Canis lupus familiaris: one gene and its partners. The protein of the gene in region 1 purifies or fractionates together with the protein of each later gene. This does not show direct contact. Links are inferred from orthologs where the notes say so. Each region holds a gene or a part of one and is shown in the gene's direction. Other genes may lie near its edges. The genes, in order: BSG, GNPAT and SYMPK.

Region 1 (4,889 bases):
TAATTGGATTATTTGTCCGTGTTTTAAATCCAGTTGTAAGTGTTTTTTATATTTTCTAGATGTAAGGCCCTCCTGGGACACGTGATGTACCCGTGCTTTCTCCCGGCCTGCGGGCCATTTCCTCACTTCCTCCTTGCAGTTCTTTGAAGCACCAGCTGTTTAATCCTGATGAAGTTCTGTTTAGATATTGATTGTCGCTCATGCTTTTGCTGTCGTATATAAGAAACCACTGCCTGAGCCAAAGTCGTCAAGGTGACACTACCTGGTTTTTGTTTGAAATCATTTTGTCAAAAAAAAAAAAAAAAAAGAAATCATTTTGTCATTTCGAAAAGTGTTTGCGGTACGGGCGCCTGGCTGGGTGGGTTGGGCGGAGCACGCGACTTCTGATCGCAGGGTTGCGAGTTCGAGCCCCACGTCGGGTGTAGAGAATACCACTATTATTAAAAATAAAACCTTAAAGGGGCACCTGGGGGGCTCAGTGGTTAAGCGTCTGCCTTGGGCTCAGGGCGTGACCCCAGAGTCCCCAGACCGAGTCCCGCATCGGGCTCCCTGCATGGAGCCTGCTTCTCCCTCTGCCTGTGTCTCTGCCTCTCTCTGTGTGTCTCTTATGAATATATAAATAAAATCTTTAAAAAGATAATAAAATAAAATCTTAAAAAATAAAAAAATAAGTAAAATCTTAAAAAATAAAAAAATAAAATGTATTTGTTGTAAAACATAGGGACCTCACGGTAGGTTTTCCAGGCAAAATGCGGCACAGCCAGTTAATCTGAATTTCAGATAAACGGCGAATGCTTTTCCTGGCATAACTGCGTCCAGATACTGCCCGGGATCCTTGTACCAGGAAATTACTCATTCTCCATCTGCAATTCAAACTTAACTGCCATCCAGGTATTTTTATTTGCTAAATCCGCCAGCCCGCCCCAGCCCAGCGCGACGTCCCACCTGCTCACAGGGATCCCTAACCCCCTCCCTTAATGCTTTTTTCCCCTTCCGTACTGGGATAAAACACACACGATATAAAGCGAGCTGTCAACCACCTGGGAGGATTCCCCCCCAGTTCTGACGTCACAGTCTGAGGCTGCAGAAAGGGAGGAGGGGCCCAGCGCAGGCCACGCCCCCGTTTCCTAGCAACGCAGCCACGCCCCCAGGCAGCGAGGCGGGGCCTCCGGGGTCACGTGGTGCGTCCGCCCGCGCCCGCTCGGGCCAGCGCGTGTATACGTGCTTCCGCGCGCGTGCGCAGGAGGGCCGACCGGCGTGCCGTGCGCGTCCCCGCCCCGCGACGTCGCCCTGCGCGCGCGCGCCCGGGCCCCCCTCAGGTTCTTATAGCGCCGCGGGCGGCGGTTGGCGGCGGGGTCGGCACGGACGGCGGCGGCATGGCGGCTCGGGGGCTCGTGGTGCTGGCGCTGGCCCTGCTGGGCGCCGGGGGCGGCTCCGGGGCAGGTGAGCGTCGGGACGGACGCGGGCGGGGGCGGAGCGGGAGGCGCGGGGAGGGCGCGGGGGCTTCTGGGGGTCGGCGCGGGGGCTCCTGGGGGTCGGCGCGGTGGTTCCTGGGGGTCGGGGCGGGGGTCGGCGCGGTGGTTCCTGGGGGTCGGGGCGGGGGTCGGCGCGGGGGCTCGTGGGGGTCGGCGCGGGGCGCAGGGGCTCGGGGCGGGGGCGGGGGTCGGCGCGGGGGCTCGCGGGGGTCGGCGCGGGGGCTCTTGGGAGTCGGGGCGGGGGCTCCCGGGGGTCGGCGCGGGGGTTCCCGAGGGTCGGCGCGGGGCTCTTGGGAGTGGGGGCGGGGGTCGGCGCGGGGGCTCGCGGGAGTCGGGGCGGGGGCTCCCGGGGGTCGGCGCGGGGGCTCCCGGGGGTCTGGGCGGGGGTTGCCTGCAGCCTGCGGGGCCTGGAGGGATTGTCATTCTTGGCAGGATTTCGGGCCCGGAGCTGCTCGGGAGGCTCCTGCCCCCGGTGTCGCGCGGCGCGCTGAGCCCTTGGGCGCCGGGCGGGCTCGTCCGCCTGCAGAGCCGGGGGAGGAGGTGGCGTCCTGCCCACCCTGTCCTTTTCCGGGGCTGGAAACTGAGGCCCGGCTGCGGAGGGGAGGTGCCCCAAGGTCGCCGCGAGGTCGCCCGGGCAGCCCGGGTCCGGGCAGGGAGCAGGGAGCGTGCAGAGCCTTGTGTTCAGCTCACACAGCGTCCGGTTCCGCGGAGGCCTTGGGGACTGGGCAGCGTTTGGGGGTCGGACCGACGGGGAGAAAGAAGCTGGGTGGGAGCCCGAGTGTCGGGGGACACACAGCAGGACGGGTTCTTCCCGGGGTTGAGACTTCCCGTGTGGCTCTGGGTTAAAGATTTCCAGGGATGGCAGGTAGGGAACAAAGTGCAGGAAGGGTCTGGGCCTCCCGCGGAGCTTCACCCGCTTACCCCTGACCCACTTGACTCGCTTGGCCTCCGTCCTCCTCCTCCTCCTCAGACGGTTTATGAGAGCCTCCGGGCGAGGGCCTTGGGCCCTGGCGGGCGCGCTGCCCACTATCCACTGCCAGCGGGTCCCTGCCGGACTCAGGAGCCCGCAGGCTCGCCGGACGCGGAGAATAGGCTGCTGTTTCTGGCAGCGCCAGCCTTGGGGAGTCGCTCTGCGTGGCTGGTGGCCCCGGCCCGCGGGGCGTGGAGGAGGACTCGTGCTTTTCCTGAGTTCGCCCGTCTGTCAGAGGGGGAAGCACGTCTCTACCTCATTCCTGGCTTCAGTCACCAGCGCTCCAGCCAGGAGGCCGGGAGGACCCCTGCCCCCTCTCCCGCAGCCTGTAGCGGGTGGGCGGTCTCTGCACTGAGCCCACCTGGGATTCGTGTCTGTGCTTGCTTCTTATTTATTTATTTATTTATTTATTTATTTATTTATTATTTATTTTTTATGATAGTAACACAGAGAGAGAGAGAGAGGCAGAGACACAGGCAGAGGGAGAAGCAGGCTCCATGCACCGGGAGCCCGACGTGGGATTCGATCCCGGGTCTCCAGGATTGGGCCCTGGGCCAAAGGCAGGCGCCAAACCGCTGCACCACCCAGGGATCCCAATTTTTTTTTTTTAAATGAAATATCTTGACATGTATTTCATTAGTGGTTTTTGTTTGTTTGTTTTTTGTTTTTTTTTAGGCAGAGACACAGGCAGAGGGAGAAGCAGGCTCCCTGCAGGGAGCCTGATGTGGGATTCCATCCCGGGACCCCAGGGTTACACCCTGAGCCGAAGGGAGATGCTCAACTGCTGAGCCACCCAGGGATCCCTCTTTGTTTGTTTTTAAGTATTTTATTTATTTATTTACTTATATGACAGAGCACGAGTGGGGAGTGGAGGGCAGAGACAGAGGGACAGGCAGGCTCCCTGCTGTCATGGGGCTTGACCTCCAGACCCTGGGATCAGAGCGGAGCCAAAGGAGACGCTCACCCACTGAGGCCCCCCCCCCCCCCCCGCCCCCAGGCCCTGTTTTGTATCACCTTTGATAGTTCCACCTTTCCCGGGAACTCCCAGGAATGCCATGGTCCTTTTTCCCCTGGGACGGGTGAATTATTGACAGCGTGCGCCTCTCCTGTCTGGGTCAGTGTCCCAGACGCTTGCTTCAGGGGACGCTGCCAGCAGTGGCTTTCCTCAACTCACGCAGCACATGCCTGGCAGGTTGGCGCCCGTGTTGGCCAAGGCCCAGGACAGGGACAGGGACTGGGACTGTCGAGGGTCCCATCGTCCTGGCAGGCCTGCTGGGGAGGGCACAGGCGGGCCCCAGGTTGCTAGCTGAGTCCTGCAGGCGGTGGATTTGGCCTCTGAGCCTCAGGTGAAGGGAGCGGGAGCCGCCTCCTGGTGAGATGGAGGGGAGGGGGGAGGCCCAGAGCCTATGGCTGGCATCCCAGAAATGTTCTCTTGCTCCTCCTACCTGAGCAGAGCTGCCTGCCGAGGTGGGTGGGAGGAGGCTGGGTGCTGGGGCCTCCTCCCAGCTCCTGGGCTGTTTACCATAAGGCCTGCCTGGCTGGGTGCCCTGCCCGGCTGCCTCAGGGCGTGGAGGAGGGGTGGCTGTTTTTAGATGAAGGTGACTTGACTTGAGAACGTGGGTCACAGTCACTTGGGCCAAAACAGAGTCTTCGCTTTTCAGGCTCTCTCCCTGTTTCCTTCCTGCCCCTGTGAATTCCTGGGGTGCCTCGGTCAGGGCAGGGGTGTCAGCCTGTGGTTCCTCTGAGACGGGATGGGGATGCCCTGCCTTGGCCCCTCTCTGAGCCCCTGCAGCCCCTGCCCCCTCCTGGAAGTAGCCCTCAAGCCTGTGGCCTTGGGCACTACTTTCTCTCCCGGGAGACAGGGGTGCAGCCGGGCCGAGATCCGACCTTCCCAGCAGCCTCCGGGTCAGGGGACACGGCAGAGACGCGAGTCCTGAGGCTCTGGAGAGGAGGCCCTGTCTGTCTGGGAGGAGGCCCCTCTCTGGCCTCGCTTCGTGCCCTGACTCACCGCTCCCGGCTCTGCACAGAGGGGTTGGTTTTGCAATCTTGGGAAATCGTGACTCCTGAGAAATGCGGCTTACTGGGAGGTGATCCTTGTGTAGAGACGGCACCGCCACAGAAGGGTTTCACTCCTCTTCTGGCTTCACGCCTCTGTCTGGTTGTAGCTGTGCCCGTCCTGAGTCCTGCAAGCGGCCTTTGGGCTACCCCGGGTCGGGGGATGAGGGTCCATCTACCCCAGGACCCTGGGGCACGTCCCACCTTGCCCCGGAGCAGAAAGCCTGTGCTACCGGCCATGCGGCTGTGAGCACGTGCATGTGTGTGACGGGTGTGAGTTTGCACACACGCGTGTGCATCTGTAGGCCAGCATGCGCGCAGGAGGGGCTGCCTGGGGCACCGGAGGGGGGCCTGTGCACTTCCTGTCTGGCTCTTCCCCTGCCTGCCTG
Region 2 (4,789 bases), on another chromosome or scaffold:
TTATGCTTAGTCATGTTCTTAGCTTAACATTTGTTATCATTTTGTTACTTCAGCATTTAGTTGTTCAATTATGCTATATTCCAAGCACAGCTCTATGTTGAGAAATAGAAGGAGGACATGTGTTTCCCATCTTCAAGATAATTGCATTTTAGGGAGACAGACTTGTGATTGATTGCAGAGCTATGAATACACACCCTAATAGCTATAGGTAGTAGGTAAAGATTTTCCAATGAGGACAGCGGAGTCATTCCCTGTGGGCATCTCAAGGAGGGTTCCACAGCAGAGTGATGGCTGAGCAAGGATGACAGAGGAATGAAAAGGCCTTTGGGGCCCAGAGTTGAGCATGCACCAAGGCCTAGAAGCGAGTCAACAATGGATTGTGTTGGGGAAATGCAAATCATTTGCTATTGAGCGTGGGGGCCAGTGAATCTAGAAAGGGAAGGACAGGTCAGGTCAGAGTTTCTTGTCTGATACCAGAAGTGGCTTAGGTCTTAATTCTGAAGGAGGTGGGGAAGTCATTCAATTATTTTAAGCAGGGAACGATTTGGTCAGAATTGTGTTTTGAAAAGAGCACATGGCAGCCTGGTGGGTTGGTTCAAAGGGGCAAAGAGACCAGTGAGGAGGCTATAGTGATAAAGTACAGAGGCTGGACTTATGACCGAGGAATAGACCTGTTCTGTCCTTGAAGGCCACCTGCACGGTATTAGATGGATCACATGTAAGGATCAGGGAGGAAGGATCTAGAATAAGGCAAAGGATTATACATGGTACAGCAGTTGTTGAGATGCCTGGAAAAAAAAAAAACAGGTTGTAAGACTGTGCAGAGGAGAAAGAAGTTCAGTTTTGGAAAGGCCAAAGATGAAGTGTTTACACTAAATGTGTCCATCAGGAGTTCACATGGGAGAACAGAGCAGGAGATTCAACAGCATGTATAATTAGTACCTAAAACCAGTTGAGTTGGTGCGAGGATTCAGTACTGTTCACACAGACAAGAGGGCTGGAGATGTTAACATCAAGAGAAGTAGGAGGAAGGAAGACATGTTTTAGTTTTGGTTGGAACTTTTCCTCCCAAGTTGAAAATCGCTAGTTTAGAAAAATGAGGTGGATCTTCTGCTGTGCCAAGAGTCATGAATGAAAAACCAAAGTAGGAAAATTTCAGGAGGATTGGAAGAGGGGAAAGAGGGAGTCCTTGAGAATGGTGTCAGGCTGCTGGGGGCGTTTAGGAATTTGAAAAGTAGAAAGAGAGCAGGAGGGCACCTGGGTGGCTCAGTGGTTGAGCATCCACCTTCAGCTCAGGTTGTGATCCCTGGGTCCTGGGATCGAATCCCGCATCAGATTCCCCACAGGGAGCCTGCTTCTCCCTATGTCTCTGCCTCTCTCTGTGTCTTTCATGAATAAATAAATAAAATCTCTAAAAAAAAGCAGGGTTTGATATTGAAATTCAGAAGAAATGTTGTTGCATTCATAATAGCAATGCATGAAAAATAATTCGAATGTCTCTTGTTAAAAATATAGTGGAAGAAACTTAAAGGGGAGCGTTTATAACATGAAGTGGAAAAATCATGTGGCAATTCAAAATGTATGTGTGTCAGGGGAGGGAATATGTTCACTAAAATGGGCCCTGGGTCATCAGATGACAGGTGATTTTAGTTTTCTTTGTGCTTTACTGTGTCTTCCAGATTTTTATAATGAACATATATCACTTTGGTAATCAGAAAAATACTTTTTTTTTTTTTGCCTTTAAAACATTTTATCAGAATCGTTTTGATTAAACTTTGTATCGTTTAAGATAAAGTAAAGAAGTAAAAATGACCTAATTGCTATTTGAGTGCCCCAGAATTGCTAAGCATTTTTCCCCTAGTAAGTTGACAGCTGCTCGCACAACATGCAGGAAAGATGTAAGTTCCTAGGGTCTGCCCAACACTGAAGAGAAGACACCGTTGTGTCAGCAAAACCCATGGAAGCCAGGGAGAAAGGATGTATGTGGCTTTTGGCTCCTCATTACAGCCTGTAGAGGGATGTGGCAGGACCATGCATGACCCAGGCATCCCTGCCATCTCAGCAGCAGTCCTACAAGAGGGTAAAGTCTAAACCTTAGCCCTTCAATCCACCAAGGAAAAAAGGTATTTGAAGAAGCTAGGGCACATAAAATGCATCCACTAAAATGTTTTAAGCCAATTATTAATACAGGAAAATGCCCATAACATACTTAGGCAAGATAAACTGTATTTTGTATGGTCCACATTTTGAATAAAAGCTATGTATTTGTGTAGCTGTGAATGAAAAAAAAGAAACTAAGGAGTGGTAAAGAGTAGTTATTCCTGGGGTGTAAAATTGTGAGCAATGTATATTTACTTATATGTTTCCAAACTTTCCATAATTAACATGGTGAGTGGTATAGGGTAGTGGTTAGGAGCAAGGTCTATGAAGCCATAAGGCTTGAGTTTGAAACATGTCTCTGCCCTTGGCGAGCTGAGGAACCCCAAGTGAGTTATTTTGCCTCTCCATACCTTGGTTTCCCCTTTGTTGTGAGGATCGTTTCCATATTAAGGAATAGTGCTTGGAATAGCAAATCAGACTGCTCACCAGTAGCTTCTAGGAGGACACTTTTTTTCTTAAGTGAATTTTTCTTAAATTTATAAGGAAATATAAGGAAATTTTCCTTATATTTATAAAACCCATGTAGTTTTATTTGATTTGACATCATTTTGAATTTCTATTTTATGCTTTAATTTTTAAAGCTAAGTAGAAGAGGCAAATTTATCATTGTGCTTGATAAAATTGATCAGATAAAATTGACTATAAAGTTGATTAGATTATTCTAGAGCTTAATGTCTCAATCTTTATTATCCTTTGTTAACTTTCCCAGAGGGGTCCTGGCTTTACAAAGATTGATTGCAAGCAGAAATAATAAAATATCATGATAACTCAGTATCAATTTATTGACCCCAATTTTCATTACATTTCTCCTCTTAGTATAGGAAAGCCTATTTTCAGTGCACTCTGCTCTTGTTCATATGCCATAGCATAAAAATGTTGGCAAAGATGAAACCTTACTAATGTAATGTAGTCTCCGATCCTTCCTGATTTACTTTACAGTATGTGCATGACTTTCTTTTATTTGCCTTACCCACAGAAGGAGCTCAAAAAATGGGATGAATTTGAAGATATTTTAGAGGAGAGGAGGCATGTCAGTGACTTGAAATTTGCAATGAAGTGCTACACACCTCTTGTCTATAAGGGAATTACTCCTTGCAAACCAAGTGATATTAAATGTAGTGTTCTCAATTCTGAAGAGGTTCATTATGTCATTAAACAGGTAAGTGATTCCCTCTTCAACCCCAGCCAGGTTTGTTCATTGTCAACAAGGAACAACACAGGAATGAACTGCACAGGTCCACTCACACATCGATTTTTTTTTTCAATAAATACAGTATGGTACTGTAAATGTGATTTCCTTATAGTTTTCTTAAAAATGCTTTATCTGGCTTATTTTATTGTGAGAATACAGTATATCATACATATAACATTGAAAATACATATGAATCAACTGTGTTAATCAGGAAGGCTGTCAGTCAACAGTAGGCTATTAAGTTTGGGGGGAGTCAAAAGTTACGTGTGGATTTTCAGTCACATGGGGGATCGGCACCCCACCCCCATGTTGTTCAAGGGACAGCTGTTGTCTGACAGGGAATGATGACAGTTATGTTGTCAATTACAATGAAATATGATACATGACATGCTAGTAAGAGTCCAGTGTACAGGGGCATTAATTACTTATAGGGCAAATACTTTTGTGTAGGGAACTAGGAAAGTGATTTTTTTTAAGTGATGCCAAAAAGATGGTTAGGGCTTTTTCAGATGAAGTGGGTAAAGAAGTATTCCTAGCAGAGCAAATGACTTTTTCCCCATGGTTAAACCTCACTTCACATTAAAATTGCTGGAGAAACTTCCAAGAATCCCTGTACATAGATCTCACCCTCATATGAATTAAATCAGACTATCAGGGGGAAGGAGCCAGACGTCCTAGTAGTAGTTTTTTGTTTTTTTTTTTTTAATTTATTTTTTTTTTATTGGTGTTCAATTTACTAACATACAGAATAACACCCAGTGCCCGTCACCCATTCACTCCCACCCCCCGCCCTCCTCCCCTTCTACCACCCCTAGTTCGTTTCCCAGAGTTAGCAGTCTTTATGTTCTGTCTCCCTTTCTGATATTTCCCACACATTTCTTCTCCCTTCCCTTATATTCCCTTTCACTATTATTTATATTCCCCAAATGAATGAGAACATATAATGTTTGTCCTTCTCCGACTGACTTACTTCACTCAGCATAATACCCTCCAGTTCCATCCACGTTGCAGCAAATGGTGGGTATTTGTCATTTCTAATAGCTGAGTAATATTCCATTGTATACATAAACCACATCTTCTTTATCCATTCATCTTTCGTTGGACACCGAGGCTCCTTCCACAGTTTGGCTATCGTGGCCATTGCTGCTAGAAACATCGGGGTGCAGGTGTCCCGGCGTTTCATTGCATTTGTATCTTTGGGGTAAATCCCCAACAGTGCAATTGCTGGGTCGTAGGGCAGGTATATTTTTAACTGTTTGAGGAACCTCCACACAGTTTTCCAGAGTGGCTGCACCAGTTCACATTCCCACCAACAGTGTAAGAGGGTTCCCTTTTCTCCGCATCCCCTCCAACATTTGTGGTTTCCTGCCTTGTTAATTTTCCCCATTCTCACTGGTGTGAGGTGGTATCTCATTGTAGTTTTGATTTGTATTTCCC
Region 3 (4,789 bases), on another chromosome or scaffold:
TGAGATGGTAGGTGTAAATAATTCCGGTCCCTTAGATATATTGAGTGCTTACGATTTTCAGGCTCTGGGCTTTGAATCCAGCAGGCCTGGATTTGAGGTCTCAGTTGAACCAGACTACCTCAGCCACTTAATAAGTGTGTGACTTTGGTCAAGTTAACTGAACCTCTCTGTGACTCAGGTGTTTGCCTATGTTAACAATACTAGTGTAGTATAAATTACATACAGAGAAACACAGCTCTTCACTGTACATCTTAGTGAATTTTCGTAAAATGAACACTCCCACATAGCCACCACCCAGATGGAGATACAGATCACTTCCATCTTTCCAGAACATTCCTTCTTACTCCTATCCAGTCAGCACTTAGAGCATCCCACCTCCTGAGATAATCACTTTTCTGCTTTCTGTCTCCCTAGATTAATTTTTCCTGAACTTCATATAAATGGGATCATAGAGAGTCTGGCTTCTTTTGCTCGGCATAGGTTTTTGAGATGCCTGCATGTTGTCATGTGAACCAGTGGTTTATTTTGTATTGCTCAATAGTGTTTCCTCATGCAAATAGGCCATTGTTTGTTTATCCACTCTCCTGTTGATTGACCTGTGGTTCGTGTCCAGCTTTTGACTGTTGTGAATGAAGCTGTACAAGTGTTTGTGTATAAGTGTTTTTTGGGATTTGTTTGGGCTGTGGGGTGGGGGTGGGGGGTTGTTGGGATTTTTTGTTTGTTTGAGTATAGTTGGTGTATACAAGTTTTGGTGTACATGTGCCCTCCTTTATCTTGAGTATATACCAAGGAGTGAGATTGTTGGGTCATAGGTTAGGGTATGCTCAGTGCTACTAGAAACTGCTCATCAGTGTTCCACCATGGCTGTGCTGTTTGATACTCCCGCCCACAGTAAATGGCATTTCTAGTTTGAGCCCTGGTTGTATGCAAAATGAGGATAAAAAGTATGCCTGTTTCAGAATGGTGATTTGCAGACTTAAATGAGCTTTGTGTGTATAAGGCTTAGACTAGAACCTAGCACACAGGAGGTCCCTGGATGGGAGCAGAGGGGTAGAACATTCCTGGAGCCCGTTTGCTACCTCCCCCTCAGGTGTGGAACAGACCAAACAGTGCAAAGAGGAACCCAAAGAGGAGAAGGTGGTGAAGCCAGAGAGCGTCCTGATCAAGCGGCGCCTGTCAGCCCAAGGCCAGGCCATCTCCGTGGTGGGCTCCCTGAGTTCCATGTCTACTCTGGAGGAGGAGGCGCCCCAGGCCAAGAGGAGGCCAGAGCCTATCATACCTGTCACGCAGCCCCGGTGAGTTCCCTGGCAGGTGCAGGACTGAGGGCCTGGGTTTTATTTATTTATTTATTTTTTTTTTTTTTAATTTTTATTTATTTATGATAGTCACAGAGAGAGAGAGAGAGAGGCAGAGACACAGGCAGAGGGAGAAGCAGGCTCCATGCACCGGGAGCCCGATGTGGGATTCGATCCCGGGTCTCCAGGATCGCGCCCTGGGCCAAAGACCGGCACTAAACCGCTGCACCACCCAGGGATCCCAGGGCCTGGGTTTTAGTGTGTACACTAAGTGCATGTGTGTGTGCATGTGTTAAAGACAGACTGACAAACAGATAAACAGGTAGGGCCAGATGAGGATCTGTCTGATTCCCGAGTCAATGCCATACCACGAAACCTTGTCATTTTCTTTTCCATAAAAATACCTCCTTATTTATGTTTAAAGTTGGGATGATGGTATCTCTACGGATCAAGGGAGAATTAAATGAGTTCATAGTGATAGGTAATAAAATTAGATAATCCATGGGGATCCCTGGGTGGCTTAGCAGTTTAGCACCTGCCTTCGGCTCAGGGCATGATACTAGAGTGCCGGGATCGAGTCCCACATCGGGCTCCCTGCATGGAGCCTGTTTCTTCCTTTGCCTGTGTCTCTGCCTCTCTCAGTCTCTCATGACTAAATAAATAAAATCTAAAAATAAATAAATAAAATTTTCCTTTAAAAAAAAAAAGATAATCCTTGAGGTTGAAAGTGAATTTGATGTAAAATATTTAGCATGATTCCTATATGCTAAATGCTTTATATACTTTATACAGGATGACAACAACCGGTAGTACTACATGACATACATGCTACTGGTTGTTGTCATCCTCCTCTTCATTATTATCCAGCTTAGAGACCAAAAACTCCTGCCAGTCCCTGCCCCTCCCCAACCAAGACCTGCTGTCTGGGCCTGATCCTGAACTCTGAGCTCTCCATTCCCCTCACTCCCTCCTCCAGTCACATGGGCCCTTGGTTCTCCTTGAACAGCCAGGCAGGTCCCTACTGGAAGGCCTTTGCACTTCCTGTTCTCTCTACCTGGGAAGCTCATTCCCCTGATATTTGTCTGTCTTGTCTGCTTGCTTCATTCAGATCTGCACTTCCACATAGCCTCCTCAGAGAAGTATTTCCTGAGACACACTTACAAAAACAAAGTGGCCCTCTTCTTATTACCCTATTCCCTGCCATGCCTGAGTCACAAGAGAATTAGAGAAGCAGTATAGTGGGGGGTGAGGTTCTCTATATGGCCTGAAGTGGGTCTGGGCTCCAGAAAGGATGTTTTCAGTCACCGTCTCCCTTTCCCTACTCTTTCATGTAGGCTGGCGGGCGCTGGTGGGCGCAAGAAAATATTCCGTCTGAGCGATGTGCTGAAGCCCCTCACAGACGCCCAAGTGGAGGCTATGAAGCTAGGCGCTGTGAAGCGGATCCTACGCGCGGAGAAGGCCGTGGCCTGCAGCGGGGCGGCCCAGGTGTGCTCCTGTCTCCCTAGCCCATGCTTCCAGACTCTCTCCCCATGAGCCTGCCTCACAGCCCAGGGAAGAGACAGCCCTGGGCTCAAACCTCCCAGGCTCTGGGTCCCAGCTGGGCTGCCCACCAGCCTTGCATGCCTCTCTTCTGTCCTCCTCCAAACGGGGGCAGCAGCAGCAGCTTCACACAGTAATGAGGAGGAGGAAACATACGGACGTGCACATCTTTTGCTCAGCGTGGGGCTGGCTGCCCAGGAGAGCCCTGCAAGTGAGGGCTGCTATTGTGTTCTATCTTCCTGGTGGTAGATAGTGTTCCTCTTCTTCTGTGGATTCAGATGGACCAGGTCTAAATCCTGATTCTCTCATATGCTGGCATTGTAACCTCAGCCAAGTGACTTTCCCCCCATATTCCCCCCATTTTTTGAAGTTTAATTTTAATTAACCAAGAAGTATATAAAGATATCCTCTCTGTTAAAAAAGAAAAAAAAAATTTCCAGGCCATAGAGGCCCCATAAGTCTTCTTTGGCCCCCACCTGCATCCCATCTGCTGCCTCAGAGGTGACCAATGTACAAGTTAGGGGAAGCCTTCAGGATCTTTCTCTGTGTACTTAAGTATATAGATACTACTTTTACAAACTCAGTTTTATTCTATGATGATTGATTTCCATACGTACCTACCCATTTTTTCTCTCCCACACAAATGAGACCTACGGGGTATAAGATTCTTCAGCTTGCCTTCCTTGCGTAACCCCCAGGTCTGCCCTGGAGGTCCCTGAGCCTGGGCAGGAAGATGTGCAAGGCACAATCATGAGGTGCCTGGGATTGCCCAGTGCCACACCAACACATACACCCACTCTCCTGTCAGGTGCGCATAAAGATCCTGGCCAGTCTGGTCACACAGTTTGACTCGGGCTTGAAGGCCGAAGTCCTGTCCTTCATCCTGGAGGATGTGCGGGCCCGCCTGGACTTGGCCTTCGCCTGGCTCTACCAGGAGTACAACGCCTACCTAGCAGCCGGTGCCTCAGGCACCCTGGACAAGTACGAAGACTGCCTTATCCGCCTGCTCTCCGGCCTGCAGGAGAAGCCAGACCAGAAGGATGGGTGAGAGGGACAGTCCTGGCTCTCCTGTGTCCTGCCTTTCTTTTGTGGTTTGATCACCTCCCTCTTCACCAGCCAAATCCAAGTGTCCATCCCCAAGACTCTCTGCTCTCCCTGCTCTCTGGAGACACATACAAGGCAGATTCCGGGTGGGCTCTGGGGCCTACTCCCTGGGCTTATTCTCAGCTCTGCTGGTTGCCCTCTGAGCCTCCATTCCTGTAGATAACAGTGCCTGCTTCATAGGCTTGTTTCTGAGGTTGGCTTCTCCCCAGCCCCATCTCACCTGAATTGCTCCTGTAGCTTCCCTCCTTGTTCTCAACCTCCTGCTGATCTATCCATTCGCAGCAACCTGGGTGACATTTTAGAATGTAAATACTAGTTTACCCACTAAAAACCTTTCCTGATTCTCCACTCTTAGGATAAAATACAGCTTTCTATCTGTGCTCTATGAGACCTGCATAACCCAATTCCTACCAACCTCTTTACCTTCTTTTTCCACTCTTCTACTCCTCACTTCCCCCCCCTTGAACATGCCAAGTTCAGAGCTTGGCAGTTCCTGTTTCTGTACCTGGAATGCTCTCCCCACAATTCTTTGCATGACTGGCTCTTTCTCATCCCTTGGCATCAACTCAGTGTTACCTCAAAACAGCGGTTTTTGTCCACCACATCAGAAAAGTGGTACCTGTCCTCATGCTCCATCATTCTCTCCCATTGCTGTAGTAAATGACAAAAGTTAGGAATCCCCATTTTGACAAAGGTGGGAAACTGAGTTTCAGAGAGAGAAAGTCTCTGCCTAAGTCCCCCAGCTGGCAGGGCTCGAACCCTGCTCTGTTTACCTCCAGAGCTCTGTATCCAGGGGGTTGAGCAAGCTGTATGTGACGGACAGCCCTGCCTGCTCCGAGCTCCAGCAGGAT

What was found.
Region 2: the proteins of BSG (region 1) and GNPAT purify together in Homo sapiens (affinity purification with mass spectrometry; 3 studies listed by BioGRID and IntAct, counting the BioPlex papers as one, with this or other methods). This does not show direct contact. The link is inferred for Canis lupus familiaris from reciprocal best matches to the Homo sapiens genes BSG and GNPAT.
Region 3: the proteins of BSG (region 1) and SYMPK purify together in Homo sapiens (co-immunoprecipitation; 3 studies listed by BioGRID and IntAct, counting the BioPlex papers as one, with this or other methods). This does not show direct contact. The link is inferred for Canis lupus familiaris from reciprocal best matches to the Homo sapiens genes BSG and SYMPK.

The regions. Positions count from the first base shown.
Region 1 is NC_049241.1:58,427,749-58,432,637, reverse strand, and holds the start of BSG (basigin), read left to right. Parts: upstream 1-1,308; 5' UTR 1,309-1,376; coding exon 1,377-1,443; intron 1,444-4,889.
Region 2 is NC_049225.1:8,558,556-8,563,344, reverse strand, and holds part of GNPAT (dihydroxyacetone phosphate acyltransferase), read left to right. Parts: intron 1-3,136; coding exon 3,137-3,319; intron 3,320-4,789. UniProt on the Homo sapiens protein: Dihydroxyacetonephosphate acyltransferase catalyzing the first step in the biosynthesis of plasmalogens, a subset of phospholipids that differ from other glycerolipids by having an alkyl chain attached through a vinyl ether linkage at the sn-1 position of the glycerol backbone, and which unique physical properties have an impact on various aspects of cell signaling and membrane biology.
Region 3 is NC_049222.1:110,490,072-110,494,860, forward strand, and holds part of SYMPK (symplekin), read left to right. Parts: intron 1-1,090; coding exon 1,091-1,295; intron 1,296-2,629; coding exon 2,630-2,780; intron 2,781-3,642; coding exon 3,643-3,878; intron 3,879-4,789. UniProt on the Homo sapiens protein: Scaffold protein that functions as a component of a multimolecular complex involved in histone mRNA 3'-end processing. Specific component of the tight junction (TJ) plaque, but might not be an exclusively junctional component. May have a house-keeping rule.